7 linked regions of the Oryzias latipes genome follow. The protein of the gene in region 2 interacts with the protein of the main gene of each other region in a pairwise test. Links are inferred from orthologs where the notes say so. Each region holds a gene or a part of one and is shown on either strand. Other genes may lie near its edges. The genes, in order: rrp7a, tfip11, snx20, bmf, ccdc146, sfr1 and gng4.

Region 1 (3,932 bases), on a different chromosome or scaffold from region 2:
TAAAATATCTTAAACTGGAATGACTGAAAAGACTAACATGAGATTTCAAATAAATCACTACAGAAACCTTTGTTTCTGTCAAATGACAGTAGTATCCAATTACTTAGTACTGCCTCTCTCTGTGATATTTGTATCTAAAAATACAAAACAAACAAAAAATACATATTACCTCTAAAACTAAACTTTATATTTATTTGTAGAATTTGGGTCAACTGAACCTTGAAATCTGAAGGAAAAAAAGTCTTAAGTTTCATAAATGAGATACTTCAGCTAGAAAGATGTTAGGTCTTATCTTCCAAAAAAATGCTTACGTTTTTTTTTTTTTTAAATATAACTATTTCTCAAATATAATTTTGTGGTAAACATCAAGTTGTATAAGCAAACACATTCCCATCTTTGACAAATGAGTGAATGGACATCCAGGGTTTCTGTGAAAGCAGTGCAGCCAAAGGTGATGATCCAAAACATCCCAGTCAGGTGAGTCCTGAAGCTGGGAAAAAAGCGTCCTTAGGGTTGTTTAACCCTTGTGCTATCTTAGATGACCCCACCCTTACATTGACGTGTTCTCCCTACCACGATAAAGGTGGAAGATTACATGTAATCCATGGACACCAGTGAAGATCACAAATCATTAAAGAAAAAAGGTTCAGAGCACTGTCTAGTGGGGTCTAGATGACCCAACTCCCAATGTTAAAGTGCCCAGGATAGCACAAGGGTTAATGTTTTAGAAAAAAACATTAAACAAATGTTCGGGAAACGGGGGAAGCAAAAAGGCAAATACGGATTTGCAAACAAAATATGATGGAATCACAGCAACATTTTAATTTGACATTCAAATTTTTCACACATACAAAGATTTACATAAACAAAGCATGTTATGGTTTTTCAATTCCTAATCAAAACTTTAACATTGGGAGTGGGGTCATCTAGACCCACTAGACCGTGCGCTGAACCTTTTTTATTCAATGATTTATGATCTTCACTGGTGTCCATGGATTACATGAAATCTTTCCACCTTTATCCATCTTTGTCATGGTAGGGAGAACACGTCAATGTAAGGGTGGGGTCATCTAAGATAGCACAAGGGTTAAACTACTGTTCATAGACTTTTGTCAGGGTCGGCTTTTAAATAAAGTTAGAAACGAAACTACTTCCGGTTTAGGCGTCACATCAAAAATGGCGCCCTCCAAGGCGAAACATGCCAGTGGCCAGCCTTGGGTTATTCCTGGAGGGTTTTCAGGTATGGTATAAGTTAAATTAAATGTGGATATCTAAAATTATTGTAAATAGAAATTAGAATATCCAGTAAATTTGAAGCTCTTGTCTGGGACGTTGGGACACTCGTTTGTTCGTTGTACTGATGGTTCTGCTTCTGCAGTCCTTTCCTTACAGTTCAGCTCCGGCAGCGCTGCTCGTCATTGTCTGTACGTGAAGGAGCACAAAGTGCGCACAGAGAAGAGTTCTCACAGACCTCTGGACAGGACTTTGTTTCTGCTCAACATTCCTCCGTACTGTTCAGAGGTGAGCCTCAAGAGAAAATAAAAAAATAACCGAGATGTCTTTCTTTGTCTTACACAGACTCAGCTGACAGAAAATTCACATCTGCAACTCAAATGTCTTTTAAAAAGAGTAAAGCGAATAAAGCCTTACATTATGCGGCTTATTCAGTCTGCTTGATCTTACTTTTTTGCAACCAAACAACCTGAAAATTAAAAAAAAAATCCCAGTTTATTACTTACCTTGGTTTCATTGAATACTCTTGGTTATTTTGTTGTGGTTTTATTTGTCTCTCTAACTTGTCCTATCCAGCAGCTGAGCAAACGGATATGAATCTTCTGACACACGAGGTGTATATTCGTATAAACCTCTTCTGTATTTGAGGCTAAACTGTTGGGTGGCGACATAACAAAAAGAAGAGGACAGAGTGGGACGTTAGAAATGGGGGATGAGGTTACAAACAAGGGGAGAGAGAAGTAGACGCAGTGGCAAAGCAACACATTGCTAGAGATTTATCATTACTGCCAGGTGTAGATGTTAGAACTAAACACTGGGCCCGTCCACAGACACACTGGAAAGTTACAAACATACCTGTTGGCTCCAAAGATCTTCACGCACAAACACGTAAATGCGTACACAGTACAGCTGCAGTTCACACGCACATGCTTATGGATACGAACCAACACGTGTCAAGCATATCATTCCATCCCGCATACTATTTGTGCAAAGGTGAGCTGACACTTATGCTCACCAGAAAGCCCATCCTGCCCCACGCTCCTGCCCAACCTATGGGAAGTCCAGTAGAGAGCAAGGCAGGGGGCAACCCCCCATCTGCCCAAGAAGAGGATGCCCAGGAGAAGTGGGGGTCCCCCATGTGTGCGGTAGACATGAGCCAACTAGGCTCCCCACCTCTCTCATTGATTCTTTATTGTGTTGTTTCAGGTTGTTGTGAAAGAATTATTCTCCCAGTTTGGCGGCATTGAATCGGTTGAGTTGAGGGATCACCCGGGTTCATCTCAGGAATCTGGACCCAAAATATCCAAACTCTTCAGACCAGCTGAGAAACAGGTTTGTGTTCCTGCACTCGTCTTTGTGATTTTCATTTACTTTGCTGTGCAATATCTGTGATATCAAGAGTCGCATATGGAGGAAGCAGTTTAGAAGCATCATTTTAACTTCCTTATTCAGATTTTAAATTTCTTTAGAATTTTAGGTCCAGCTTCTTAAAGTGTTTCCATAAGTAACAATAAATAAACCAAACTAATTAATAATAGATGCAGGGATGATTTGAATCTTTCCTCCATTTGTCCTTCAGCATCTTTGACTGTTAACATGATCACTTATTAACCTTCATCTCTTTTAGGGTTTCAAAGTCGGTTACATCGTCTTCAAGAACTCCTCAAGTTTGCAAGCAGTTAAGTCTTATCCCTTTGACGCCCCCTTGGTGGTCTCAACTGAGCAGCGTCCGGTGAAAACAGGCGTACAGAGTAAGTGATGCCTTTCAGTGCAGTCAGGAAAACAGCAAATCATTTGTTTGACTCGCTTGTTTGGTGCCTCTGCCCTTTACAGAATGGATTCAGCAGTATTCAGAGTCCTTCATCCAACCAGAAAAACTCCAGCAAAAAGTTGACAACTTTATGCAGAGCTACGACGAGCGTAAGGAAAAGGTGTGAATTCCTCCACTCCACTTTGGATTCAGGCACTCATTAATGTTCCTTCCACTGTAACACAGGCCTGTGGTTTTTTTTCTCAGGAAGCAGAGCAAAAGAAAGAAGAGGCTGAACGGCAACAAGAGGAAGAAGAAGGCTGGGTGAAAGTCACCAGAGGGCACAAGGGCGCTAAAGCTCGTCCTCACAGCGAGGCGGCCAACGAGAAAACTCTACAGAAAGAGAAAAGGAAGAAGAGGAGGAAGGAGCTCCTAAACTTCTACACCTGGCAACACAGAAACACACAGAAAGAGCGTAAGTTACTCAAGTTCAAATGTAACCTGGAGCTAAAATGTTCATCTGTATTTTTTTCTTACATTTACTGTATTCTCTTCTTTTACAGACATTGCTGAGCTGAGGAAGAAGTTTGAAGAGGACAAACAGAAAATAGCTCTACTGAGGGCGCAGAGAAAATTCAAACCTTACTGACTCTTTATGACGTCTTGTTTAAACCACACTGTTAATAAACAATTGATCCATAGATGTTTTTGTGATAATTCAATTATCATACTCCGTTTTTTCAAGTACTGGTAGTTTTGGGGGGAGAAAATATAGAAAATTATAGTTTCACAATCATTTGATGTAAGCATCAAAGTAGTTTAAAGGGCCTGTATCATATTTTTCTTAATTCTTTGTATATTCACATATATGATACCTTTGACACACTAAAGAATCCTTTTTTTTTTTAATGAAAGAATTTTCTTACCTGAAAGTTAGACGACTCGATCT
Region 2 (4,071 bases):
TCCCCCCCACAGAAATAAAAGCGTAATAATTTAATTAGAATAATTAAAAAAAAAAAACCTTTAGAGGCTCCCATGAGTGAAGTTTCTCCTTAAGTAAAGGATGAACAACTGCCACAGCCAGGTCTGCCAATCCCATCATTTTATACTCTTCATAATAATCTGTTTGTAAAGTCTCAAAGATCTGGGCACACTCCTGGGCACAGAGAGGTGAGAAAATAAACAAATAAGTATGTTCAAAATGATTAAATGTTAGAAGAATGGAGATTAAAAACCATTAGGAACAAATAAACTGCAAGATAAGTACATCTAGTTTGGGTATTTTCATGTGCCACGTACCTGAAGAGTCGGTCCCTCCCCTGGTGGCGTCTCTCCAGAGGGAAAACGCTCCACCAGTGCCAAAACAGCCTCCATTTTCTGGATGGCATCTTGCTCTGCTTCTAGTCTGCTCTGCAACGCACGGGACTCATGACTCAGAGAAACGACCACGTCCTTTTCATGCTGTAGACGTCTGGCCGACTACAAAAGAATAAATAAAGAGAGCAGAAGAAAAAAATTAAATCTGGAAGCCCACTTGAAACGGGTTAATAGTTGAAAATGATTTGAAAGAATTTCAGATTTTCCTCTGACCTGTAAAATGTCCTGTTCTGTGAGGTCGATCAGCAGCTGAAGATTATGCTCAAGCTCAGGGAGAGCGAAGCCGGAACCCTTCTGATCCCGTGTGGACATGGCTGGTGGGGTTTCATCGGGAACACTGTGTTTGTTGGCTATCTGACTGTAACTGTAGTAAACCTTTGGCTCTCTTACAGTCATATCTATAACCTAAATTTGAAGAGAGATAAAAACAATTAATAAAAAGAAAACTTGAATCATTTTACTTCCATGGCCATAAAAATCTTTCAATTTATTTCAGTTTTATGCTGAAAGGAGGAAATGTAAAAAAAAAAAAAAAAACAAGTAGATGCTTGTGAAGCTCTTTAAAATATTAAAGTTTGTGGTTTTTTTCATTGTTCTGACCCGAAATTAAAAGGACATAACGCAGGATTTTAACGCACCTTAACCTGCGCCAACTCTCCTGCAGATGCTGCCATGTTCCGAGAAACCATTTTGCCTTTAGCCCTCAGCTCATCTGCAGTTCTGTATGAGTATTTTGGTTTCTTCTTGACTGCGGAGCCCGCAGGATCCTTTCGCCACTGACCCAATTCTTTTTGAAACTCCTACAACAACACACATTACAGGAGAAAAACAAGAAGATAATTTCACAGTTAGCCCTCAATTCTTCAGATACACAATCACTGTGAAAACAAGATTATATGGAGTAAAGAACTGCTCGTGGCAAAATCTCACCTTTTCCTCCTCTTCTTCAGAGTCAACCACAGGGAAGTCCTGCAGACTCTGCTGGGTTCTCTCATTGCCATATGCACCTACAGCTCCTTTACCTTTACGGACCTTTGCCTCAATAGGGTTTACAATACCTACATAAACAAAACAGAGGCATGGCAATAAAATCTCTATTATTTTCCCTCTGAAATGCATGCAAAAGCACAATCGTGTACAGTACTTTTCCTCCTTTACGCTGCCTACCTTGAGCATTTTTTCCAAGCCCCTTTCCAGGCTGGTAACCCATTTTCTGCAGAAGCTTCTGTCCAATTCCTTTTGTGTGCTTCTCCCAGGTTCCAATACCCTGTCCAGATTGTATTCCACCAGCAAACCTCTGGGACTGATTCCCACGAAAATTACTCTGACAAAACAAAGAAATTATAGACGTCAGTTTAAAAAGAAAGCTTTTTTAGATAAAATATGTTCTTAAGCGAAACTTTACCATCTGAAGTTTTCTAGGTGCAATTCCACGAGTAGGAGGGGGAACTGCAGGGGCATCCTCTTCCGAATCATCAGAACCTTCTTCTTTGTCTTGCTGTTTCTCCTCGGCTGCAGTTTTACGTAGACCGGCACTAACAAAATTCACTGGGGTGCTGTAATCTTTCGACCTAAAGAAAATGTACACTGTTAACATCCTCTGCAAAAATTTTCACATTTAGACATCAGAGCATCAAACCTGTGAATTACCTCTTGCCACCAAAGCTGGGTCTCTCATCTTCATCTGAATCTTTGTCAGCCCAGATCCCATAAGTGGCCTGCTCCTTGGTCTGCCTAAACCTGCGGCGTTCTGGGTTAAACTCATTGGCCAGATCCCAGTCTGTCACCTCGAAGCTTTCGATCTCCACACCTTCTTCCTCTTCTTCCCTCCGCCCGTAAAGATGGGACATCGACATTTCTAGATAGAGACCCAATACAAAAAAAAATCATAAAAGCCATACAATTGAAAAACATTCAAGTTGCTTAAAAAATCGTACAACAGCATGAAACCACAGTCAGCAATGATTGCTAACGCTAGCTAAGCACGAAGCTAGCCACAAAACTGTTTCGGTCACAAACAATTATCAACATAAATATCAACTGTATTGCACATTTGTATGATTGAAAGCGTAAAAATACATTAAGAAGTTTCAAGCAAAAAGGTATTAACTAACAGAACTCAGATATTAATAATGCAAATGATGAGATTTTTTAGCGAAATCTAGCTAACGATAGTTGGGACATTAAATCCCATTACGACTGCAGAAACATTTCGAACTTGGAAAGTAGAAAGGCACTTAATACAAACAAAGCTTACTTGACAAGAAATAGTTTATACACTTAGAGATTAATTAAAACTCATTCTTGGCTGTCTGTAGCAAGAAGAGGTTATCTGTGTAGCTTTTCGTTCAACGCACGAACGTGGAAATACTTCCGGGTAAAGTCTGTCCGTCAGTACTGACGAATAAATGTTGTGACCTTAAAACTTTGAGATTTTACTTATTTTTATTTGTTTGCATTTACTAAAGATTTGTGTTGGTTTTTATATAAATTTCTCTAAGTTAAAACAGCAACACCACACATTTAGGTTAATAAATTATGTGATAAAAGCTTTTATTTTGGCGTTACACCGGAAGACAAATGTGTTACACTTAAAACCGTCCTACGCGCTGCTGATTTTGTGGCGGAGGTGATTAGGGTGTTTGTTTTTTAATTATTATCACTGTTTTTTTTTCACCCCTAACATTTTATTATAGATCGTTGAATGATGGGAATGAGATAAAAAAAATGTCTGAAAGTGAGTGGCAGGTCGCTCGGCGTCGAAAAGGGCAAACAAGGAAGTTTAAATCTCATGTGCCTTTAAGTTCCACCAGCGTCCAAGAAGACCAGCTTGATGTCGAGAAAGTTGTCAGACGGATCAGGACCACTGTGTAAGAAATAAAATAAAAAAAACGGAAAACCACTCATAAACATAGTTCATTGTGCCTTATCGAGGGGAAAACTAATTCTGATATCTCATTCTTTACTCTCTGTCTCATAGGACTGAGTTGAGATGCGAAGAGTTTTGGCACAAATGGAAAGGTAAGTAAAACATAACCAAATTTTTTAGACATGTTTTTTTTATTTAGTGTGTAATTGAATTGTAACTCTTATGTTCCTCGTCCTCAGATGAGCTGCTGATGGCATCCACAGCATCAGCATCTGCAGAGAAGGACGTCACTGAGGAGCATCTGAAGAACACAGGTGATCAGCTGGAGTGTGTGTGTTATGGCCTTGGCTCCTTTTCTTCTTGCACTGCAGCCCGGTATCAGCTTGCCATGCTGCTTCTGCTGCTGGAAGTATTACAGGTCAGAAGAGAGCATTAGACTATGTTCTAACAAACATGTGTTATGTTTGTTTTGAGTTGCTCATTTAGTTTTTTTTCTCCTAAAGGTTTCCTTAAGGGATTGCTTGGTTTATGATCCCATATTCTCCTCTGGAGAGCAGGATGTCTTGAGGGAGCTGGGAATGACTGTACTCACAGAAAACGAGGTCATGTCAATTGTTTTTCTTTTTGCACTTCTAGAGAACAAACTGCTGATGTTATCACCGTAACTGAGATCTAAACAGACTAAAGTATCCGCTGTTTTATTTAGGAGGGGAAGCGTCTGGTGACCAAGCCCACTCTTTTTTATCTCATGCACTGTGGGAAGGCTCTGTACAACAACCTACTGTGGA
Region 3 (4,016 bases), on a different chromosome or scaffold from region 2:
AATCCGAGGCAGGTAAAGGTAAGCAGACCTCTGGGGAACAACTCAGCTGTGTGGGAACGAGAGGAGGAACATAGCAAAGATCTCAGGGGAGGAACTGCTGCTAATTATCAATCTATGCAAGTTAAAATCATCTCCAAGAGAGAAAGTGATAGAACCCAACAGCTGCACATCAAATTCTGCAGGCCTCCGTTAGCATGTTTTCGTGTTTGGTTCCACAGTGTAAAGACAAAAGTTCTGGAAGTTCCGAGGAGACTCACCACATGTTTGCCTAGAGACTGATGGACAATACGAGAAGACGGGATCTCAAACAGCAGCTGGGCGGGTCGCTCGCGGCGCTTTTCCAGTCGCAGGTTCTGCTGCAGTTCCCTTGTGGTTAAACTAGATAATTCACCTGACAAACACACACAAACACACACACACACGAAGATATGGATGATGGACCGCTTCATATTTACCGCATAAATATAAACACAAACTGTTGTTTTCTGCTGTTTTAATGCCCACAACAACTCTTAAATCTTAGAAACCCTAAGAGCAAAAAAAAAAGTTAGGCCTACTTTATCATCAGAGAGCTCTGAAAACTGCAGTACCACACACTGCGTGCAGACAGCACTAAAGATCCTAGAAAGAAACAATATTACATGGAGAAACTACTGCAGGGATTCAAGAACACGTCATGTAAAGAGTGGTTGAAGCTAGACTAAGAGGAGAAGTGAATATTTGTGAGCAGCAGTGTGGTTTCATGACAAGAAAGAGCATTACAGATGCAATGTTTGCTTAGAGGATGTTGATAGAGAAGTACAGAGAAGGCCTGACTGTGTCTTTGTAGATCTGGAGAAAGCATATGACAGGATGCCCAGAGAGGAACTGCGGTATGTTATGAGGAAGTCTGGAGTAACAGAGAAGAAGTTAGGAGTTGTTCATGACATGAATGAGGGATGTAAGACAGTGGTGAGGTGTTCTGTAGGGGTGACGGGGACAAGCTTAAAGAAAAAAATGAATTTCTCATATAAAACCAGGGATTGCCACAAGAGGGCAGCACAAGAACAGTGAAGTGGTATTGTCATCACACTACCCTTAACTGGTCACGTGACCAGAAGAAGAAACTGAACAGAAGAAACTGAACAGAAGAAACTGAGCAAAAAAAAAAACCCACCTCAACACCTCTTAACAACACGGTTCTTGATATCTCTCTGTACGAAAGAGAACTTCCTAAGTCAGTGAATGCAACAGTAGCAGCAAAAAGAATGCACCTCGTGGCTTTTCTAACCCTTGTGCTATCCTAGGCACTTTAACATTGGGAGTTGGGTCATCTAGACCCACTAGACAGTGCTCTGAACCTTTTTTCTTCAATGATTTGTGATCTTCACTGGTGTCCATGGATTAAATGAAATCTTTCCACCTTTATCCACCTTTGTCATGGTAGGGAGAACACTGTCTAGTGGGTCTAGATGACCCCACTCCCAATGTTAAAGTGCCTAGGATAGCACAAGGGTTAAGGCTGCTCTTGGGAGGGAGTAATGATGTCTGTCCACCAGCTGCCCACTCCCCGTCCATTAATGCGTAACAGTGAGGAAAGTTGTCAATTTTCACATCTATAACTTTTGCTCAAGCTATGCTTCAAGCACGGTTGGACGAGAGAAAAGAGAGCCTCTGATATTGATGAACTGGATATTCTTCCAATATAGGAAGTCTACTAGAGAATCCAGAGAGAGAGGAGCTGTGGTTCAGCTGAAGAAAGTTTGGAGTGACAGAGAAGAAGGTTGGAGTGGTTCAATCAGGACATGTGTGAGGGCTGTAAGACAGAGGTGAGATGTTCTGGAGGTGAAGCAGAGTAGTTGAAGGTGCAGGTGGGACTGTATTTAGAGGCAGACACTCTGATGCAGAGACAGGAAGCAGAGCTGGAGGAAGCAGAGATGAAGATGTTGAGGTTCTCTTTGGGACAGTCAGTTTTGGACAATCCATCAGAGGAACAGATCATGGTAGATGTTCTGGAGATAAATGCAGGGAAGCAGATGGAGATGGTTTGGACACGTTGAGAGGAGGAGCAGTGATGATGCTGGGAAAAGGATGCTGAGGTTGGAGGAGAGAGGAAGACCAAAGAGGAGGATCATGGAGGCAGAGAAGGAGGAGATGAGGGAGGTTGGTGTGAAGGAGGAGGATACAGAGGAGTCGGTTAGATGGAAGAGGTGAGCAACTCACAGACAAAGTGAAAGTGTTTATGTGTGTGTGCATATTTGTGTGTATATGTATTTGTGTGTGTGCACATACATACATCCACGTGTGTGTGTGATGATTGAGCTATAATACCTTACTTGTAAAAACTAATCCTGAAATTTGAAAATCTTCTTCTGCAAAAATTAAGGTCTAGGAACTACAAAGATGGAGGCTTGTGCATCTGTTGTGTGTCTGCGATGTCAGCTGGAGGCTTCAGCGTGTTCACGGGGAGTTTCTAAGATGCTTACATCTCTGAGAAGGAAGAAACAGAAACTCTCCCTTGAACAGAGGGAAATGAAAGGACGTACCTGGACCGAGCCAGTTGACCTTGGCCGGGTCTCCAACGCCCCCTGGAGGTTCTGCCATCAGGACCAAACCCAGAGAGGACGCACAAGTCAAGCGTTCTGCTGCATCCTGACTGAAGGGCTCCCAGTTTCAAGACTATATCTAGTTTATGAATTGAGCGTTCCCACAGAGCAGTAAGAATGTGACAGAAGAGTGGAGGAGGAAGTTATTGTACTCACTGAGACAGAAGGCAGAGGGGGAAGTGAAAGCAGCATGCCAGTAAACTGACAAACGTGTTTATAGCTGCAGCAGGTGGGTGGAGATTGCTGCAAGGCTGAGAGGGATGGGCCAGGCAGGGACTGACCCTGGAAGTGTGTTTGTGGGCAGGATCGGACACCTCAAGGCAGAACTGAACTGCTGATTCTTCTCTGACCCCCCTTCACCTTTTTAAGTTTCTGTTCTTCATGTGCTGGCCTCAGATTAGAGGTTGGGAGGTCCTCTGTGATTTCAGACTGTCTGTGTCCAGCTCTGCCTGGTCTTGGTATTTATATAAGACAGAGTTAGCTAATGTTGGTTTGGTTGTTTCAGACAAGGTGCTGAACTACTCCTGATTCTGGGGTTAGTGTCCCTTTTTTTCAGTTTTCAAAGAACACTGAGAACATTAAAAAGTGTGTCTTGAAGATGAGCCTTGTCATCTGGACTTTAAGTCTTCCTTCTTTCTTGAAGTCAAACTGATCAAGTTGTTTACTTTGGGCATTTCCTTAAGGGCTCACTACAGCGAATCAGCAACAGATTTTTTAGGCCAGATGCCCTTCCTGATACAACCCTGTTTTCCTGTGAGTTCATGCTTCTCAGTCAGACAAGAATTCAACCTGCTCTGGATGCTAGATGGACCAACAGAGAAGGTTCAAGTTCAAAGGGAGCAGAACCTACAACAGCCTGATGTTCTATAGGCCACTATTACAGAAACAGGTTAACCCTTGTGCTATCCTAGACACTTTGACGTTGGGAGTTGGGTCATCTAGACCCACTAGACAGTGCGCTCAACCTTTTTTCTTCAATGATTTGTGATCTTCACTAGTGTCCATGGATTACATGAAATCTTTCCACCTTTATCCAACTTTGTCATGGTAGGGAGAACACGTCAATGTAAGGGTGGGGTCATAGGATAGCACAAGGGTTAATCTATGAAGTTTCAGAGACAGAAACAAAGACAGCAGCTCCAGAGAATCATTTTATTGGTACATCTCAGGTCTGATTGACAGCAGAAAGTATTCATGGGTCACGTCACAGGAACACAACGTGACACAACAGAGCAAGGCGACCCAGCACACACTCAGAACTAAATAAAACACATAAGATGAAACCACTATGTGTCGTGATCATTGACTGTGAAAACAATGGACAGCTCAACCCTTCCCTTCTCATGTTTCCAAATAGGAAGTACCATTGCTTCCTGATACTGGCTCCGCCATGTTGAAACCAGTCGATCTAAGTCAATGTATCTATGGCAA
Region 4 (4,300 bases), on a different chromosome or scaffold from region 2:
AAATTACATTCCAAATGAAACTAGTCTACATAGGAAGTGAGCATCTAACATAAAAGGGTTTCATCCGATTGGTCCAACGCATAAATGGATATATTTGATTTGCTAAATACTTCAAGCTGCCATAAGATTGTTTTAGCACATTTAAAGTAACAATTTGTTGCGATTATCGCCGTCTTTTCCGATATGCATATCGTGCAATATACATATCGGAAAAGATGGCGATCAAATTTATCGTTTTCGCGATATCAAGCTTGATATCGCGAATACGATAAATTTGGGATTTATTGTGCAGGCCTGGATACCAATTACTGATATTGATTACTGGTAATTTCTTATTTGTGATTTTTTTCCCCCCAAGCATATTATTTTTTATCTTAAAAACAAATACCACTGAAAACTGTCCAGATAACAACTTTAATATGCAAGGTTAAATAAATACATAACTGTTCTTTTTTTAAATAATGCACTTAAAGCAGTGCAATGATTAATTTCTCCTCCATGTTCAATTTTTAAACAAGTGGGACCTCTGTTAATTAAAAAAGACGCCATACCTTTGACCCTGATTGGTCAAAGTTCAACTGGTTTAACTTTCATCATGTGTTCAAATGCCAGGCATTTTGTAGATACAGCCCAAAAACAGACTTAAAATCTTGCATTGTTGAGTGTAAATGTTAGTTTTGAACATGGAAGCCCGAAACGCGCATATACGCACGTTTATGTAGACCTTTCAGTTGAAGAGGTTGCTTTTGTATGATGGTGTGAACAAAGCAGAAGATACACAACTCATGGTTCCTCTGGTCACGTGACTGATAGAGCAGCTTAATATGCTGTCTGCTGGGGGTGTCGCTCACCTAATAACCAAGCAAAATCTAGAAATGATAGATACACTTTTATTTTCTCATGTATTAATTAGTAATTGATAAATTAATAGAGTACTCAACACCCAAATTGCTAATATATGGGTATCTGTATTTTGACATCAATTCTCCCATAAGTTGGGAGGGACTTTTTTTCTAGAAACGCTTGTCTTCTTATAAAATAGACTTGTTTTTGAAATAAAAATTAAAAAGTTGTTCTAAAATAAAGTGGAAAAAACTTTAAAAGATGTAAATATGTTTGACTTAAAAAAAGAGTTAAATTTGTTTAACGTAGTTCAAAAAATAAAACACCGGGTTTTAAATAGTCAGTTCGGTTGAAAATAAAATAGAAGCTAAAAAAAAGATCAAGCTAAACCATATATGGCAGATTTGTCAAGCAAATAAAGCATTATGCCTCCACTGCTATGGTTAGAGACCAAGGCAGCGGAGGACAGACAGGCCTTCTAGCACATGAGCTGCGTAGTAGCGTGAAAGCGGTCTCGTGCTCCGGGGAATTTCCCGTCCACGTGTCTGAAAACACCGCGGCAGCGGCGGCATATAAACAAAGGCAGCCATTGGCTGGCGCGCGCGCACGTAAATCATCCTCTATTTACTAAAATTCAGCTCCCGCCCACTTGGCGGAGTCATCTCAGGCTGACGTCGGCGAAATCAGTCCGACCGTGGCAGCGCTCCTCGCAGAATGGAAGTAGTCGTTGAGGAATAAAGTCGTTTGACTTAGCAGGATTTTAAGACTTGGAGTCCTATTTTTTTTAGAAGTTTCTTTTATTTTATTGTTTAATTTTCGCCACATTTAACCCCAGAGTGCAGGACAAGTGTTTTAAACGCCGCCAGTCTTCTCGGTAAGAACAGCCTCCAAACGTTCAGCCGCTTTATTAGCTTTAACGAACTGAAGGGAAACTTGTTGTTGTTACTTGAAAAAGACGCAACACAGCTTTTTGTGGCGCTTGGAAGCGGCGCGCGCTTTCGCTGTGCTCTTCTGTCGTACAGTAAGATTTGAAAAACACCGGCTTTCCCGGCTGACACAGCACCAATGAAGTCAGCGCGGCCGGTCTCTGTCATGTGTCTGCACTTTGTTGTGTGACAGTCACCTTTTTCAACAGAAAACACTCCGTAAAGGCATATAAGCACGCAAATAACCGTTTATGACGACATTTCCGCCCTAAACTTTTGTTTGTAGCAGCAAACGTAATAGGTTGGTTTACTTTTTTTCTGTTTGTGTGTGTGAGTGACCCTATTAGGTTTCGATTCGGAATTAAATGCCCTCAACTGCACCTTTTGTCATAAGGCAACTTTTAGTTGTTGTTTTTTTTAATTGAAATTTTGATAACGAGAGCAATATTTATCAAGTTTGTGCCACTGATAGCTTAATGTTAGAATGAAGAGGGTGTCATGATGTTTATGGGCATAGAAGATGCATCTACCGTGGAGCTGTTGCTCCAAAACAAGCCCACTATAATTGACTTTTGTATTAAAATGCGCCCCCACCAGCAGGGGGAGCCACTGCATGACATAAAAATGTTTGTAGTCAAAATAGCAGAAAATATACATTTAAAGTATTTTGCTGTTATTATTATTATTATTTTTTTATATTTAAAAAAAAAGATAAAGTTAGACTTCCACGTGTTTGAGTCTTAGCAGACAGGAGCTGAGTGGAGTTTAAAAGAAAAGTTCAAAAGCTGTCAGGGAGAGTGGTAGGACTTTCCTCAGAAACTGTCATTCCCTCTTAGCTGTGATCCCTCATTTGGAAGCGTGATACCAGTGTGACCCTGTATTTACAACTCAGTGGTAACTTGGGTTTTGCTGCTGAGGCAAACATGAGTTTCACCCATGTTTTGATAACTTCTTGACACAGATTCAGGGAGTGAACTCCAGGATTCAGGGTGAACTCCAGGGCATCAGTGACTTTAAGAAATTGCTTTAGTTTTGTACTTTGTATACCCAGTTTTTGGATTAATGTTTTTCATTGAAATAGAGAAATAATATAAGAACTCAGTCATTCAGGGAAAAAAAGATAATTTTACGTTTTCTTTTACCAAGTTAACCAAGCTAGCTTCTATGTTACTGTGGCTTGATTGACTTCTAACCGCAGTGAATTGTGTGGTTTATTCACTGAGCTGAACAGACTCATTTGTTTAAATAAACGCTGAGCTCTTTACTTCCAGAGAAAGCAGAGCAGTCGTTTCATTTCCCCGTCCACCGTGGTTTCATTGATCGGAGCTCGCTCCATACAGGCCAGACAGGTTGTCTATAATGATAATGAGTGCCTCGGAGGAGAAAAAAAGAAGCAGATAATGAATGCGTCTGAGGTCATCTCTCCAGATCTGACGTAGATTTATTCAAGGTTTGTTAGAGAGAATGCCCTTGGTTTGTGGTGTTGCCCACAAATGCGCTCATTCTCTATTCGCCATATCGCTTTCAAGGTCACTCGTCTTGCAGTGCCCCCCCGTATGGACGATGAGGAAGACGATGTGTTCGAGCCGGACCCCAACAAGTGGCGCACGACAGCCAGGAAGATAAAGTGTGAAGACCGGGGCACGCAGACACCCGGTCCTGCCCTGGTACCAAACAACGGCATGCTTCTCTGTGGACTTGCAGAGGAGCCCAGACCACTTTTCTACGGTGAGGCTGATGACACACCGTCTTTCAAAAGCAAAAAAAGGGGAACATCGCCTGGTGTGTGATAACCAGTTATAAAACTCCGGCGCAGAGGCATAATGTGACACTTGATGTGATAAAAGCGCAACAGTGTTGCAGCCCTGAGCTCTCCCCTGGCGCCTGGGAGTCGTCATCAAACTCAGTTTTTTATGGCCATTGTGGCGTGTTACCAGCTGCTTTGCTATTCAGAAGGCGCCAGGCCGGCTTTGGGACAGGTGAGCACTGTGACAGCAGTGCAACAACTCCTCAGATAAATCATTATCAGTAGCAGCAAAGCTATGTTGGTGCCATATATGAGCAGTCATGCCGGAGTAGTTCCATAACAACTAACTGCTGAAGCCCTTTTGGGTGTCAGTGACCTATAAAACTATTATGTGCAATAAAACCACAGCTGGGGAAATTGTTTGTCAGCCGGGCAGCTTGTTTATCCAAAGAGACATTAGTCATCACTTGGAGTAAAAAAAATCTTGGTACCTGACATAAAGAGAGGTCTGTCAGGTTTCAGTTCTGTGTTTAGTTTAGTTTTTTCACCGAACACGTTGTTTACGAGATATTAAGTATCAGCTTTGACACTCAACAGGTAACGCAGGTTTTCGATTGCACTTCCCAGCACGCTTTGAGCTTGCTGGGGATCTTGAGGTGAGGCGGCACGACAGGGAAGCAGAGCGGCGCGGGATGGAGCGGCTTCCCCGGCAGCAGCCTGTGGCACGCAGCACGGAGGCCTGCATTGCACAGAAACTCCAGCTGATAGGGGACCAGTTTCACCG
Region 5 (3,932 bases), on a different chromosome or scaffold from region 2:
TATTCCAAATATATTCTATCAGTGTAAGTCAGGTCTCTGCAGGCCCGTCAAGTTCTTCCATACCAACTTCAATCAGTCATCATTTTATGGATCTTCTTTACTGCAACAAAACTAAATCACACAAAGTATTTTGGTCTGGTTTCTTGTGTAAATATCTGATTATACTTGATTCAAGACAAAACTAACATACTTAGAACTTTTTAGTAAGACATAACACTTTTTGGACAATATATCTTGAGTCTTTTGATCTTAAAAACATCTTATTTTTAGCAAACGCACTGATTTTTTAAACAATATTTTACTCAAGTTTTATTTGTGAATGGTAAGCTGTCTTGTTTCATGATATGATTTACTTCTTTTGACTCACAGCAGTTCAAATATATTTAGCAATGGCAGAACAAGAGTTTGAAAATAAACACATATTTATGTGTAATTTTTAAAGAAATGTATCTCAAAATGAGTCATTTTAACATGTTTGTGCTCTAAAAAATAAGGATTTGGGCTGTTGTAGCATTTAAATAAGATATAATTGGGGGAAACTGTGTAAAAATACGTTCTTTTGTGTAAAACCTCCTAATTTTTAAAGATATAAAACTATTTTACTGACCAATACGCACTTATTTAAAGATATAATTCCGATTAGCAGACCAATATACCAAAACATGAGTCTTTATAGCAAGTTTAAAGATTTAATTTAATCTTTTGGTGTTTTATTTTAAGACATCTTACCAGAACAAAGTCAACTGGTTCTATTTAAAAAAAAAGGCTTTAGTATCAATTCACCATATTGTTACCCTTAAACAGCTGCAATAATTAAATCTATATCTGTCTAAAAACTCACATTTTTGTTGATCCTAATTTATGGTTCTTTAGTTGGGAATTTTTGCATTTATGTAGTAAAGTTAATGTCCTTGCAACCTCTTGCATAGGTTTGCACTTTACAATTTACTAACTCAGTTAATTGATAAACAATATGGACATAACACTTTGACAAGAACTGTTTATGTCTGTGTGTGTGTGTGTGTGTGTGTATATATATATATATATATAGTGTTTCCAATTTAACAATTTAACCTTTAGGCTAACGTGCTACACGTATTAGGGTTCTGTTCATTTATTTATGTCTTTTTTAGACAACGCGCAGCGTCGTTGTCATGGTAACGCGCTACAACTAGAGGGTAAATCTCTGCCTGCGTGTGCCTGTCTCGTCAACTCTTTTAAAAGTTGTTTGAGGTCGAACTTCAAGCAAACGGAGAAGCGGAAAAGTCTTGTAGGCGTGAGTATAAACGAACAAAATTAACCTTTAAACTTTTACTTTCGTGTTTTTTTGTTTTTTGTTTTTTTTTGTTTCAAATCGGTAGCCACTAGCTTAGTATGCAAAACCGAAACGCTCGTGCTCAACTTTTTCTTTTCAAGCTAACGTGGCGTTCGTAAATGTGCCTGAACAAAAATTCAACCGAAAAAATATCCAACCGTCCGGATCAAATCAATGCACATAACAAACTTAAAATTTATACTCATCATTAACCATTTTTGCTCTGCTTTTCTACACAAATTGTGCGTGTGACTAAGCACAGATATCTCTTAGCAAAAAGTAGTGCACCCAACGTTTATTTTACTAAATATCTGTAAGTATAGCAAGTATACTACACCATGTATACTTCTGAATACAAAATAAATTGGAACATTCCATGTTTACAGTATATAGATAGTATAGAAAAATAGACTTCAAGTACACTGCCTCACTTTTATATACCAAGTATACTTCCTATAGACCCCTTTTTACTACAGAATAGTATTTCTGGTAATGTGTTGTGCATTCTCTGTTGAATCATATGTGTAGATTTATAGAGTTGTTTGCTTTCCCTTAGAGATTCTGTTTGAGGATCAACAAGATAATAAGCCTCCAGGCATGGAGGAACAAGGGAACACTTCTCCACCTCATCCATCTCTCCAGGAAGATCAGCCCTCTGTCAACGTCGCTGTCTCTGCCTGTCCTGCTTTTCAATATCTTGAAGAGGTAAGGAGTCATGTCACTTTCAATCAGATTGTTCAACAGTGACAGACATATAAAATCGTTTTAAATGACATATTATGTGCCAGAGAAGTCGTTTGTCTAACTCTGATTTGTAAATGCAAAGGAAATTCTGACCAATAACTTTTTTTTTATATTTAAAAAACAGCTTAATTTCAAGCACAACTATTTTTTTTATTAAAGTAACCAGTACAGACAGTAAATAGACATTAAAATAACTTTCCAACAATAATGTCTGTCGCTCTTTGAGTAAACATCTCATTCACTTATCTGTTAAGGGCATGCAGCACCTCATCCTTCCTATTTACAGGCTTCTCTACTAGACCGGACACACTTTAAAATATCACATGCTAAACTTACATTTTTATGTACACTTTTTGTTTTCATAGCAGAAGACTAAAAGCTGATCAGGCATCAGGGAGTCTTTAAACTACGAAAAAAACTGAACTCCATTCAGCAAGAAAAAACAAAAACAAAAAAAACTTAAATTTCTCTCGTATAAAAAGTGCATATTTTTGGTTATGACAAATGGAAATGCATCGTAGAAAACATCCATGTGAACCAAGAGTGGTGAAGAAGGATGACAGTTTATATACAGTCTTCATCAGTACCATCAATAATTGGACTTTACTGCATTTGCACTATAAAACCTTTCAAAAACAAAATAAATACTGTACACATCCTTAGATTGAATCCTCTTGTCTTGTCTTTGCCATCCACAGTGTGTTTAAAAAAATGGTATGATGCTGTACAGTTTTCAAACATTAGGTAGCAGTATTGTACAAACAGTGAGTTAGCCTACAGATAAAGAATGTTATATGACATCAAGAGGTGTGCAGTAGAGATAGTCGAACTCGGAATAAGGTTAGAAAAACACTTGGAACTGTTTAATGTCATGATCAGTAGCTGCTGTCAGGAACAATTTTCTAGAGAATCAATAATACAGTGCGTGTAGCACTCACAGGGGGAATCTTTTCCGGCAGCACGCTTTATATTGTTTGGGAAGATAATCCATTGGCAAGCTGTCTCTGTTGTAGTTTAAGCTAGTGGCACCAGAATGTTAACTTGTGATCAGCTTGCAATGAAAAAATAATGTAACATTTGGACTCTGTTCACAGCAGGATGTCTTTTCTGGATTCATTTCATATCCCCGAAAAAAGAAGAAAACATATCATCCACTCTCATATACCTCACTTGGGTGGTTGCTGTTAATTATGGAGTCATTTACAGCGGAGAAAATGATAGGTCATTAGTTTTTACCGCTGGAGTGTGCTGCGCCGCGACTCAGCTGGGTTTATAGCAGGAGGCAGCAAGTGTAGAAATGTCACAGATGGATGACAAATTGCTCGTGTTAACCTCACGTGTGATATTATGGCCCTTTGTGGGAGGCTGGCCTTTCACACTGCATGTGTATTTTCCTATTGTCATCCTTGTTCACAGGTCATTCTCTTTTATTGTGAAAACCAACCTCGCTACGGTAGAAAAACTCCTAAAACATTATGATTTTTAACAATCCTTGTTGGTACTGCTTTTATTGGCTTCTTTTGCTGTGGAAACATGTACAAACGTAATTTCTTTTTATTTTTTAAACTGAAGTCAGAAATGTTATCATATCCACCTAAGGAGCATAGTTTTTAGGCCGTATCATCATCTTGACAGTTTTAAAGGCCTGCCTGTAGTTGGTAGGGTAGTACTCGGATGACATGTTGTGCCACGTTCCCCAGAAGATCCCATTCCGGACTCCTTTGTACCTCTTGTGGTAGTATTTCCCATTCAGATTGGCCGACATGCAGGCATCAAACCACCAGCCGGAGCTGTAGTAGGCGCCGCAGTTTCCCGAGGGGTACATGTCATTGTCCAGGTCCGGCGTGGAAAACAACTTCTGGTCGTGGTTGAA
Region 6 (4,111 bases), on a different chromosome or scaffold from region 2:
AACAGAAAATTGTTCCCATCTCCCAGTGCAGATGAATGATCTTTTATAGGAGACTCACACCCTTTTTAATTGACTCAGGGTTTTTTCCCCCTTCATTTGCTGAACTTAAACCTCTTTCAGTAGGCATGTCACTTTCTTTTATATCATTTTTTCAAAATCTGACAGATTGGTTTGTTTAATCAAATATAAGACAATTTATTTGACGATATGTAGCTTTTGGACACAGTCTAAAAGTTAAAAATAGTTTTGAAAGTTTGAGGACAAACACAAAAACAGACCAACTAACTAATTTTTGGCTTTATTTTTTAACAACCCAGAGGGTAAAATGGTAAGTTTCCAGGCTGCATTGCCAGTTTTCTTTGGCAGCAGGTACAGGTAGCTCAGCAGCTGTGCAGCGTTCGCCTTCCTGACATTGTTTGAACCCCATGAGAGAAATTTTGAATGTAGATAGATCTAGGCAGAGTGAGGTTTTACATTGCATGACAAATAGCTTTGCTGCATGTGTTTCAAAAGCCTTTATTGAACATTTGAGAAGAAGGGAGAAGCAAAAATGTATGAAACACTGTTTTTAATTAATGCGTTTCTCTTTTTTTATTTCCAGCGTTACAGCGAGTCAGAACAAGGCACTCGCATTTCACAGAAAGCGTCCATGTTGGAGAAAAACCTTGCTTTCATGACGGAGGTGACATGAAAAGTGACAAAGCAACGATAAACCAGCCTTTTTATGCTTTTTTTATGAACAACTCTGTTTACTTTTTCAGGCTCATCAACAGTGCATCCAGCAGTGTGTGAAGGAAATCGAGCAGCTTTATAAACAAGCTGACGTGAAAAGCAAAAAGACTTCTACTCTGGAGCTGCAGCTTCCTGACATACGGGTGGACGTGGCGCAGCTGAGACACGTCTCTGAAGCTGCAGGTTGGTTTCTGATCGACAAACATTCGCCAAACGCCGATTCCGTCATCCCAGACAAGCATAAATATTTATCTGCTTTTATTTTGGTTGTTTAGGCCCTGAACAAGAGCAAGCAAAAGCCAAAGAGCGGCACCTGGAGCTTGCTGTGAAAAGCAACTTGAAGGCTCTAGTCAAAGCTCAGGCTGAGGAACTGACAGTCCTTTTAGCGGAAGTTGAACGTCTAACGAAGAAGAACTTCACTTCAGTCTATCAGCTGAAATACAGCTGAGTGAAACATTTTTTTTTGTTTCTTAACTGAGCAAAAAGTTCTCTGTACATTAAATGTGCTTTTGCTGTGAAGAACCTGCAACAAATAAAGTGATTAAGAACCACTTAATCTGCTGGTACTTAAGTCGTAAAATAAAAAAAAACAGAAACAAAAAAAAAAACATGTTAAGTAGTGAAGTCCTCCTCCGGGCGGTCAAAGTGCAGAAAGTGATCGTCCAAACCAAAGAGGTCTATAAGCTCAGACAGATTCGCCCTTCGTCCGTCCACAGTGACATCTGACTGGAGTTCATACAGCGCGTTCTGGGAGCAACGCCTCCACTTGTCGATCAAAGTTTGAAGCTGGGTTAAATCATTCTAGGGGGAAAGACCAGAAAAGTGTTACGGCAAAGCAAAACGGTGATCCCCTGAAGATGTTTGAAAAATGGCTGGTACCTTGCTTCTGTACATCTTTACCATCTTGAGTCGACGTAGAGTCTCTGTTTTTTCTTTGACTTCTTTCCTGAGGTGCTGTAAAAAAGCTTCAGGCGTCTGCTCACTGCCTGACTGGGCTTCCCTTTTGTTGTCATTGAGTGGGATTTCTGCAGGCTGCCTGACAGCCTCCTTGGAGTCTGCTGACATGTGTGGCCCTTCATCCTCTGCATCGTCCACACAAAGGCGTTTGGCCACAGAGACAGGAGAAACAAAGGAGCGTCTGGATCTTTTCAATCTTTCCCTCAGCGAAGTGCTGAGCTTTGAAAAACACTAGGATGATACGAGGGGAAAAGAAAAAAAAATCACAGATGGAGTATTAAGGCCAGCATAAAAAGAGAAAAAAGTTAACATTTTACAAGAATAAAGTCATACAAATATTAGAAAAAAAAAATCTACATTATATAACTAAAAAATATGTAAAATTATGATTTAAAAAAATTATACATTTACATGAAAAAGTCGTACTTTTTCGAAAATAAAGTTGTACATTTACAAAAAAAAATCGATTAATTCGCTATGACATGATTTAAAAAATCTAAAATGTAACATTTTAATTTCAACACGCGTGACTTTTTACTTATAAGATGTAGACTTTTTGAAGCATAAATTTACAACTTAAGAGCTATTTTTTTTACTCATAATTGCATAACTTTATTGCCGTAAAATTTTCCCCTCGGCGTCTCTTTAGACTTTTTCTTTCATGGTGGACCTAACACTACGTCGTATGTAGTGCACCACACATCCCATTCAGTCACCTACTTTCTCTTCTCTGTATCCCGAGGGGGTCGACTCTTCTGGGCAGCAGGGTGATGAATACTCGTGTTTTGGAGTGACTTCCATCCGTCAGATTTAGCATGAAAAGTCTGTTTAGCTGCGAGAATAGCCTAGCTTAAAGTTGAGAAAACGCTCAATATATCTGACTCGGCTGAAATAAGAACGAAAAAAATTAGAGGCACTATAACAAAGTATTATAAACCATATTGAATTTTTATCAAAGACATTTCCATGTGGAAAAATTAAGCTGAGGCGATGACACCACAGTTGATCTTGTTTTTCCGTATTTTTGCGGTTCTAAGTCCTGAAGATCAATGATTGGACAGAAACTGATTACGTTTAGCCGAAGAGGATTCTGGGATATGAAGTTATTCCTCAAACGCAGTCGCACATTTAACTTGTTGGCTTTAAGATGGAATAATTTTACTTAAACATCATATTTAAATGTACATATATATAAAAAAAATATGAAAAAAAGAGAAACAAAATAATATGTGGCCTTAAATTTTTTTGTGTGCACACAATTTAGCATTTTTTTGGGCAATTAATTTGTAATTTATAAGCATTCTGTGTCCACAGTATACTTATTTGTTGGCACAAAATTCTAATTAATTCATAGGCCTACATAATAGCCTGCTAATTTGTGCACACACAATTTCTAAGCCAACAAATTTGGCTAGTACAGTAATTTGAATTATTTGTGTTCACAAAACAGTAACTTTTGCCTACAAAATGTTAATAAAAAGCAAAATTTTGGTCACGAGATGCAAATTTGTGTGAACGCAATAAAAAAATTCGAATTTGTGTGCACAAATTGTTAGTTTGAAGGAACAGTTTTTATTTATTTATTTGAATGTCATGTCTATTGCCCTGTAAAAATATGTTAATGAACAGAATTTTCTTTTTTTGATGAATTGCTTCATGGAGAAAACAACATTTTTTTATAAAAAAACACAAAGGAAGTTTTTTCACACATGGGATTAAGTAGCTTGTTTCTTCTTATGAAATTTGATCAATACATATTTTTAATAAAATTAAAAAATTGTTGGTAAACTATTTGTGTTTACATAAGACACATTTAAATAATTATAATTTAAGTAGTTTAATAATCAAGTCAGGCAAAACAACTACCATAGCAATGGGAAAGAGTGTTTTGCTCCAAAATTCAGAATATTGTTAAAGAGATTTTTTTGTGTGGTGGTTATCTGGAGTTGATTCATGTTGTGATTCACCTTCCCTCATTAGCTGATTCATCGGTTTTATAAGTCTATAGCTATTTTAATCTTCTCACAAATGTGGGATGGTTCTCTTATTGTGTGTCAGCCTTTATAGCCACGAGGAGAAAGCTGTTATACCTTCAAATGTGGTTGTGCCCGGACACGAACATTAGCAACTCATTTGGCAGTGTGATATTACACACCCCAGGGAACAAGAGATTTTTTTTAATACTCCTTGTAAGGACAACTGAGGGAAGGGTAATTGCTATTTGTGTAAGTTAATGTTTTTTGCGTGTAATTTTTGCTTTGTGAAGTCGGCATTAACCGTGGCATGCAGCAGCTGCTGTGGGTTTATAGAATCTCCAGGCCATGTGAGATAATGAGAGTGCCAGATCTTTCATCAAATGCAGGACTGGCCACTAAACATTATACATCCTTAAGCCATTTTTGGGTCAGCTATTAATTCCTTC
Region 7 (4,096 bases), on a different chromosome or scaffold from region 2:
CACCATTGCTTCCTGATACGGGCGTCGCCATGTCGGAACCAGTCGACAGGGATTGGTCCAAGTCGCTTTGAGTCATCGTATCTATGGCAACTACTGTCGCCATTGCCATAGATAGGATGACTCAAAGCGACTTGGACCAATCCCTGTCGACTCAAAGCGACCAATTACTGTCGACTGGTTTCAACATGGTGGCGTCCGTTTCAGGAAGCAACTGTACTTCCCATTTGGAAACACGAGAAGGGAGGGGTTGGGCCGTGCATTGTTTTTACAGGCAATAGTTTGACCACTTTGGATCCACAGCAACACTTCCTGTCTAAGGCCGTCCCATGTGAGAGCGCTCACACACCTGTTCCGTTTTCTCATTGGCTTAAATGAAATCAAACGGACTCCCATCCGTCTGATTCAGAAAAACCAAACCAAGGAAACTTTTCAGGACTGGAAATCTGTCTTCAAGCAATCCAGCACATGTGAAGAAACCCATAGACATATGACCACTAGACCGATGACCTCTGATGTCATCTATACGATTCTAGATCACAGGAAGGAAGCCCAAAGCAGAAATCAATCCCAGTTGTGATTGGCCTGAGTCGACGTTTCTATGGCAACTAGTCTCTCCAATCAGGAGTGAGCTTGTTGGAAGGCCACACCCCTTCCACTTGAAAATCGGCTGCATGAAATCTGTCAGTCAAAGGTTTTGAACACTGGATGTGGGGGCCAGCAGGCTCCACCTACTTTTATTGAGGCGTCTGATTGTTCAGTTTTATAACTTGTAGCAGAGCAAGAATGGTCATTCTGACCAATAGCTGTTTATTTCTATTGGATTTTGGAGCCCGTGGGTACTTCCTGTTTGGAACGCCAGGGGGGAGGAGTCAGTTCCCTTTATGCAATTAAAGTCCAAAATAGGAACAAACTAATGTACAAGGTATTATATCCTGAGTGAAAAAAAGCAAAAAACTGGAAGAAGAATGCTGAAAAGCAGCAGAAAATGTCTGGTGTTGAACTTAAATGTGTGTGAAAGTCTCCATCCAGGTCCTGAAGATCTACCTCTACGCTCAGACTTCTGTCTGATCATCCGATGGTTCAAGATATGAGCAACTCCAACCGAGGGCCGCATGCCTGCATGTTTGCCAGCATGCTCTAATTGGCTGGACACACCTAAACCAGGTAATCAGTCATGAGTGCGGCTTGGTGATCATGGAGAAACGCCGGCCCTCGGGGCCCGGAGTTGCCCACCCCTATAGGGCAGAAAGATCTTCAACTTTTATATGTATGGTCAGCTTGGTGGCGGCAGAATTTCCCTGAAGCTCAAACATTTGGACAATTCATCCTTTCCTTTCACGAAAGACCAGCGTTGGCGTGACAGGATGAGGAGGAGGAGGAGGGGGCGTACCTTTATTCTGTCCATGCAGGCCTCCATCTTCAGCTGCTCCACGGCTTTCCTGGCGTGGGAGATGCTCGCCGTGCTGTTGTTGGCGATGCCGTCCTTCATGGTGGCCCCTGTGATGTCAAACAGCAGGCTCCGTAAACATCACACTGAACCTGAGAAAGTCAGGTAATGCCGCCCCCCCTCCCCTTCCACACAGAGCACAGCCATCTCTGCCACAACCCCTTTTATTTATAGAGCCCATTTTGTCTGGAGAAGCGGGTTTCCAGCGCCCACGCTCCATTTTATCTGAAGAAAGAGCTTAAGAGCTTTGAAGGCAGCAGCTGGACAGCAGTTTGACATTTTTCTCTCATGCATGACTGTTCTGCCCCCCCCCCCCCCCCCCCCTTCAGTGATCCGGGGCAGGAGCTGACGGGGGAGGGGGGGGGCACTGAAAAACAGGACTCAGGTGCATTTCCAAAGTCCATGGAGGTTCTATGGATTCTCCCTTTCTCCTCCAAAGAGCCTGTAGCTGCCTCCCTGCAGAGACCCTGCGATTCTTTCAGGCCCCCTTTTGACCCCCTCAGTCCTGATCTGCCCCACTTTGGCCAGAGGGGCCACCTGCCCGCAGATGTATTGTGTAACACCAGAGGTGGGCTGCTGCTGCTGCATCCCCCACAAAGGAGGGTTTGCTCCCGTTTCGTGGCATCAAATGGAGTAAAAATCGTTTGAATTTTTTTGGGAGCCCCCGTTCGTAGGATTTTCTGCTGGGGGTTTGAATCCCACCATCGCGGGAAGCCATCAGGCCTCCCTTCCACGCAGGTCTCCATTCCATCCGCGCGGCTTTTTTTCGGTTCCGCGCGCCTCCGTATCCAAACGCTAATTGTTGATCTGTCATTTAAAAAAAAAAAACAAAAAAAGAAAAACGAGGGGCTGCGGCCCTGATCCCCCCCCCTCCCCCCCAACCTCCGGGAAACGGACATTTCTCTTTCGTTTCACCGACACATCCGCAGATTTCTCGGGTGGGAGCGCGTGCGCGGCGCGCGCGGGTTTGGAGCCACCGACCTACCTGGAATGTGCCAACGGTTTTCCAATTTGGAGAATTCCGGATTGACTCCACCCAACGCACACGCACGCACGCAGGCACGCGCGCACGACCAGGGATGTGTCAAGAGATGAATCGATGGGAGGAAATCCCAGCCTCGCTCCTGCGCCGGACTCGACCCGCGAAGGTAAATCCTGCCTGGCGGTTTTTCTCCCCCCCCTCAGCGGTTCGTTGTGCGTGAGTCGTGCGTGATCCGTGTGGGAAGCGGAGACGCGCGCGGCGAAGTGAGCGCCACGGCTGGACCTGGAGAGATGTTACGCATGCAGCAGGGGGGGAAATCTCTGTGTGACGATGAGATGCAGGCTGTGGAGCAGAGATCACTCGATCACTGGGAGTCTCCGCTGTACGAGCCGGCCCCAAACGCACCACCTCCGCCTATTCATCCAATTAATCTGACAGTTAAACCTGCAGTTCACCAGAAATAGATAAATAAAAACTCACCACGACAAGTTTAGTAATATTTCTTCAAATATTTTATATCTATATATTTATATATTTATAATATCACATGGTTTTGTGCATAAACAAGCAAATATATATACATCAAAACCTAAGACAACCTCCTGCCCGCATGCCGATCTACAAAAACTGGTCTGGAGAAATCCGGGATCACAAGCAGGTCTTAAATTATGCACAGATAAGGTATAAACAGAAATAATAAAAACTTTCATCACATTTCCTGACAGAAAACTGGTGGAGGGATGAAGACCAGCAGGAGGTTGGAGTTGCACCCGTTCTCACAGAAACACAAAAACGTCACATTTTCTTTAGGTTCAGATCAGAAAAGGGACAAAACAAACTTTCTGAAAGAAATGAAAACGAGAAATGTTCCCTTTCTTATGAAACGATGGACGATCATTCACTACAGAGGGTTAAAACAAACAGAAGACAGAGGCGGGTTTACCCAGAAGACGGAGGGAAAACCATTTCTTTTAGTTTATTTGTCTCATTCAATAAAAACTTTAATTAAGACTACAATTATGGCTGTTTTGGGTTCATAAAAAGTGCAGTTTGATCCACAGAAACAGCCAAAGAGGAAGTGCGACTGGTTCCTCAGAGGAGTGGACCCTCATTGTGGGGGAGGGGGGGTTGAAGATTAGTGTTATTGATCTGAAGAAGCTTCGGAGTTAAAAGTTCAGTAAAACCGGAAAAGCAGGGGGGGGGGGGGTGGAGCTTCTGGATGCAGGTCGTGAGAGGAAATGTCACAGCTGGAGGGGGGCAGGGGGGCATACAAAACACAGAGGACAGAACCACGGGGTCCGATTCACGGTGCCCCCCCCCCGTGTGCGGTCGCTCCTGCGAGACACAAAGTGAAGCCGCGACACAGCCCCCCCACACACACACTCACAGAGCACGACCCCCCCCCCCCAGCAAGGAGCAGTGACAGACCCGGGTCCTCACACGCTTCGGGTCAGGGGTTAGCAGCTTCCCAGGAAACCAACAAAAAGACGACAGAGAGGTTTAGTGTAAAGTGTCTGCTGCAGCTTCATCCAAACTTTTTATAAATATAGATCTATGTACACATAACACTTTCATCACTGCTGATGCTGGGAAGGGCGGGTGGAGCTTGCTCAGCCGGGGGTGGCATTATTAGGAGTCAGGGCAGGTTCAGAGAGGCAGCGTCCTCC

The links.
Region 1: the proteins of tfip11 (region 2) and rrp7a interact in binary tests that used the Homo sapiens proteins (3 or more experiments, as listed by UniProt). The link is inferred for Oryzias latipes from reciprocal best matches to the Homo sapiens genes TFIP11 and RRP7A.
Region 3: the proteins of tfip11 (region 2) and snx20 interact in binary tests that used the Homo sapiens proteins (3 or more experiments, as listed by UniProt). The two-hybrid records come from large-scale screens. The link is inferred for Oryzias latipes from reciprocal best matches to the Homo sapiens genes TFIP11 and SNX20.
Region 4: the proteins of tfip11 (region 2) and bmf interact in binary tests that used the Homo sapiens proteins (3 or more experiments, as listed by UniProt). The two-hybrid records come from large-scale screens. The link is inferred for Oryzias latipes from reciprocal best matches to the Homo sapiens genes TFIP11 and BMF.
Region 5: the proteins of tfip11 (region 2) and ccdc146 interact in binary tests that used the Homo sapiens proteins (3 or more experiments, as listed by UniProt). The two-hybrid records come from large-scale screens. The link is inferred for Oryzias latipes from reciprocal best matches to the Homo sapiens genes TFIP11 and CCDC146.
Region 6: the proteins of tfip11 (region 2) and sfr1 interact in binary tests that used the Homo sapiens proteins (3 or more experiments, as listed by UniProt). The two-hybrid records come from large-scale screens. The link is inferred for Oryzias latipes from reciprocal best matches to the Homo sapiens genes TFIP11 and SFR1.
Region 7: the proteins of tfip11 (region 2) and gng4 interact in a two-hybrid assay, tested with the Homo sapiens proteins (2 studies listed by BioGRID and IntAct). The two-hybrid records come from large-scale screens. The link is inferred for Oryzias latipes from reciprocal best matches to the Homo sapiens genes TFIP11 and GNG4.

The regions. Positions count from the first base shown.
Region 1 is NC_019866.2:20,063,838-20,067,769, forward strand, and holds rrp7a (ribosomal RNA-processing protein 7 homolog A), read left to right. Parts: upstream 1-1,132; 5' UTR 1,133-1,176; coding exon 1,177-1,240; intron 1,241-1,378; coding exon 1,379-1,521; intron 1,522-2,439; coding exon 2,440-2,565; intron 2,566-2,860; coding exon 2,861-2,984; intron 2,985-3,066; coding exon 3,067-3,164; intron 3,165-3,250; coding exon 3,251-3,458; intron 3,459-3,546; coding exon 3,547-3,632; 3' UTR 3,633-3,684; downstream 3,685-3,932. UniProt on the Homo sapiens protein: Nucleolar protein that is involved in ribosomal RNA (rRNA) processing. Also plays a role in primary cilia resorption, and cell cycle progression in neurogenesis and neocortex development.
Region 2 is NC_019867.2:13,548,756-13,552,826, reverse strand, and holds the start of tfip11 (tuftelin-interacting protein 11), read right to left. Parts: upstream 2,801-4,071; 5' UTR 2,672-2,800; intron 2,273-2,671; 5' UTR 2,271-2,272; coding exon 2,065-2,270; intron 1,986-2,064; coding exon 1,820-1,985; intron 1,739-1,819; coding exon 1,582-1,738; intron 1,473-1,581; coding exon 1,345-1,472; intron 1,215-1,344; coding exon 1,053-1,214; intron 820-1,052; coding exon 628-819; intron 517-627; coding exon 337-516; intron 194-336; coding exon 59-193; intron 1-58. Other genes in the region: srrd (SRR1-like protein), read left to right, coding at 3,142-3,284, 3,395-3,435, 3,523-3,701, 3,787-3,885, 3,990-4,071. UniProt on the Homo sapiens protein: Involved in pre-mRNA splicing, specifically in spliceosome disassembly during late-stage splicing events. Intron turnover seems to proceed through reactions in two lariat-intron associated complexes termed Intron Large (IL) and Intron Small (IS).
Region 3 is NC_019864.2:5,678,299-5,682,314, reverse strand, and holds the start of snx20 (sorting nexin-20), read right to left. Parts: upstream 2,801-4,016; 5' UTR 2,584-2,800; coding exon 2,526-2,583; intron 392-2,525; coding exon 258-391; intron 1-257.
Region 4 is NC_019880.2:14,506,836-14,511,135, reverse strand, and holds the start of bmf (bcl-2-modifying factor), read left to right. Parts: upstream 1-1,500; 5' UTR 1,501-1,717; intron 1,718-3,040; 5' UTR 3,041-3,219; intron 3,220-3,298; 5' UTR 3,299-3,325; coding exon 3,326-3,497; intron 3,498-4,113; coding exon 4,114-4,300. UniProt on the Homo sapiens protein: May play a role in apoptosis. Isoform 1 seems to be the main initiator.
Region 5 is NC_019881.2:12,615,275-12,619,206, forward strand, and holds the start of ccdc146 (coiled-coil domain-containing protein 146), read left to right. Parts: upstream 1-1,132; 5' UTR 1,133-1,276; intron 1,277-1,871; 5' UTR 1,872-1,912; coding exon 1,913-2,020; intron 2,021-2,189; exon of another isoform or gene 2,190-3,653; coding exon of another isoform or gene 3,654-3,932. Other genes in the region: fgl2 (fibroleukin), read right to left, coding at 3,654-3,932. UniProt on the Homo sapiens protein: Essential for sperm flagellum biogenesis and male fertility.
Region 6 is NC_019873.2:20,002,316-20,006,426, reverse strand, and holds sfr1 (swi5-dependent recombination DNA repair protein 1 homolog), read right to left. Parts: upstream 2,746-4,111; 5' UTR 2,491-2,745; coding exon 2,410-2,490; intron 1,921-2,409; coding exon 1,612-1,920; intron 1,534-1,611; coding exon 1,345-1,533; 3' UTR 1,181-1,344; coding exon of another isoform or gene 1,008-1,180; 3' UTR 916-1,007; coding exon of another isoform or gene 762-915; 3' UTR 683-761; coding exon of another isoform or gene 602-682; 3' UTR 501-601; downstream 1-500. Other genes in the region: cfap43 (cilia- and flagella-associated protein 43), read left to right, coding at 602-682, 762-915, 1,008-1,180. UniProt on the Homo sapiens protein: Component of the SWI5-SFR1 complex, a complex required for double-strand break repair via homologous recombination. Acts as a transcriptional modulator for ESR1.
Region 7 is NC_019873.2:28,283,543-28,287,638, forward strand, and holds the start of gng4 (guanine nucleotide-binding protein G(I)/G(S)/G(O) subunit gamma-4), read right to left. Parts: upstream 2,801-4,096; 5' UTR 2,433-2,800; intron 1,498-2,432; 5' UTR 1,490-1,497; coding exon 1,391-1,489; intron 1-1,390. UniProt on the Homo sapiens protein: Guanine nucleotide-binding proteins (G proteins) are involved as a modulator or transducer in various transmembrane signaling systems.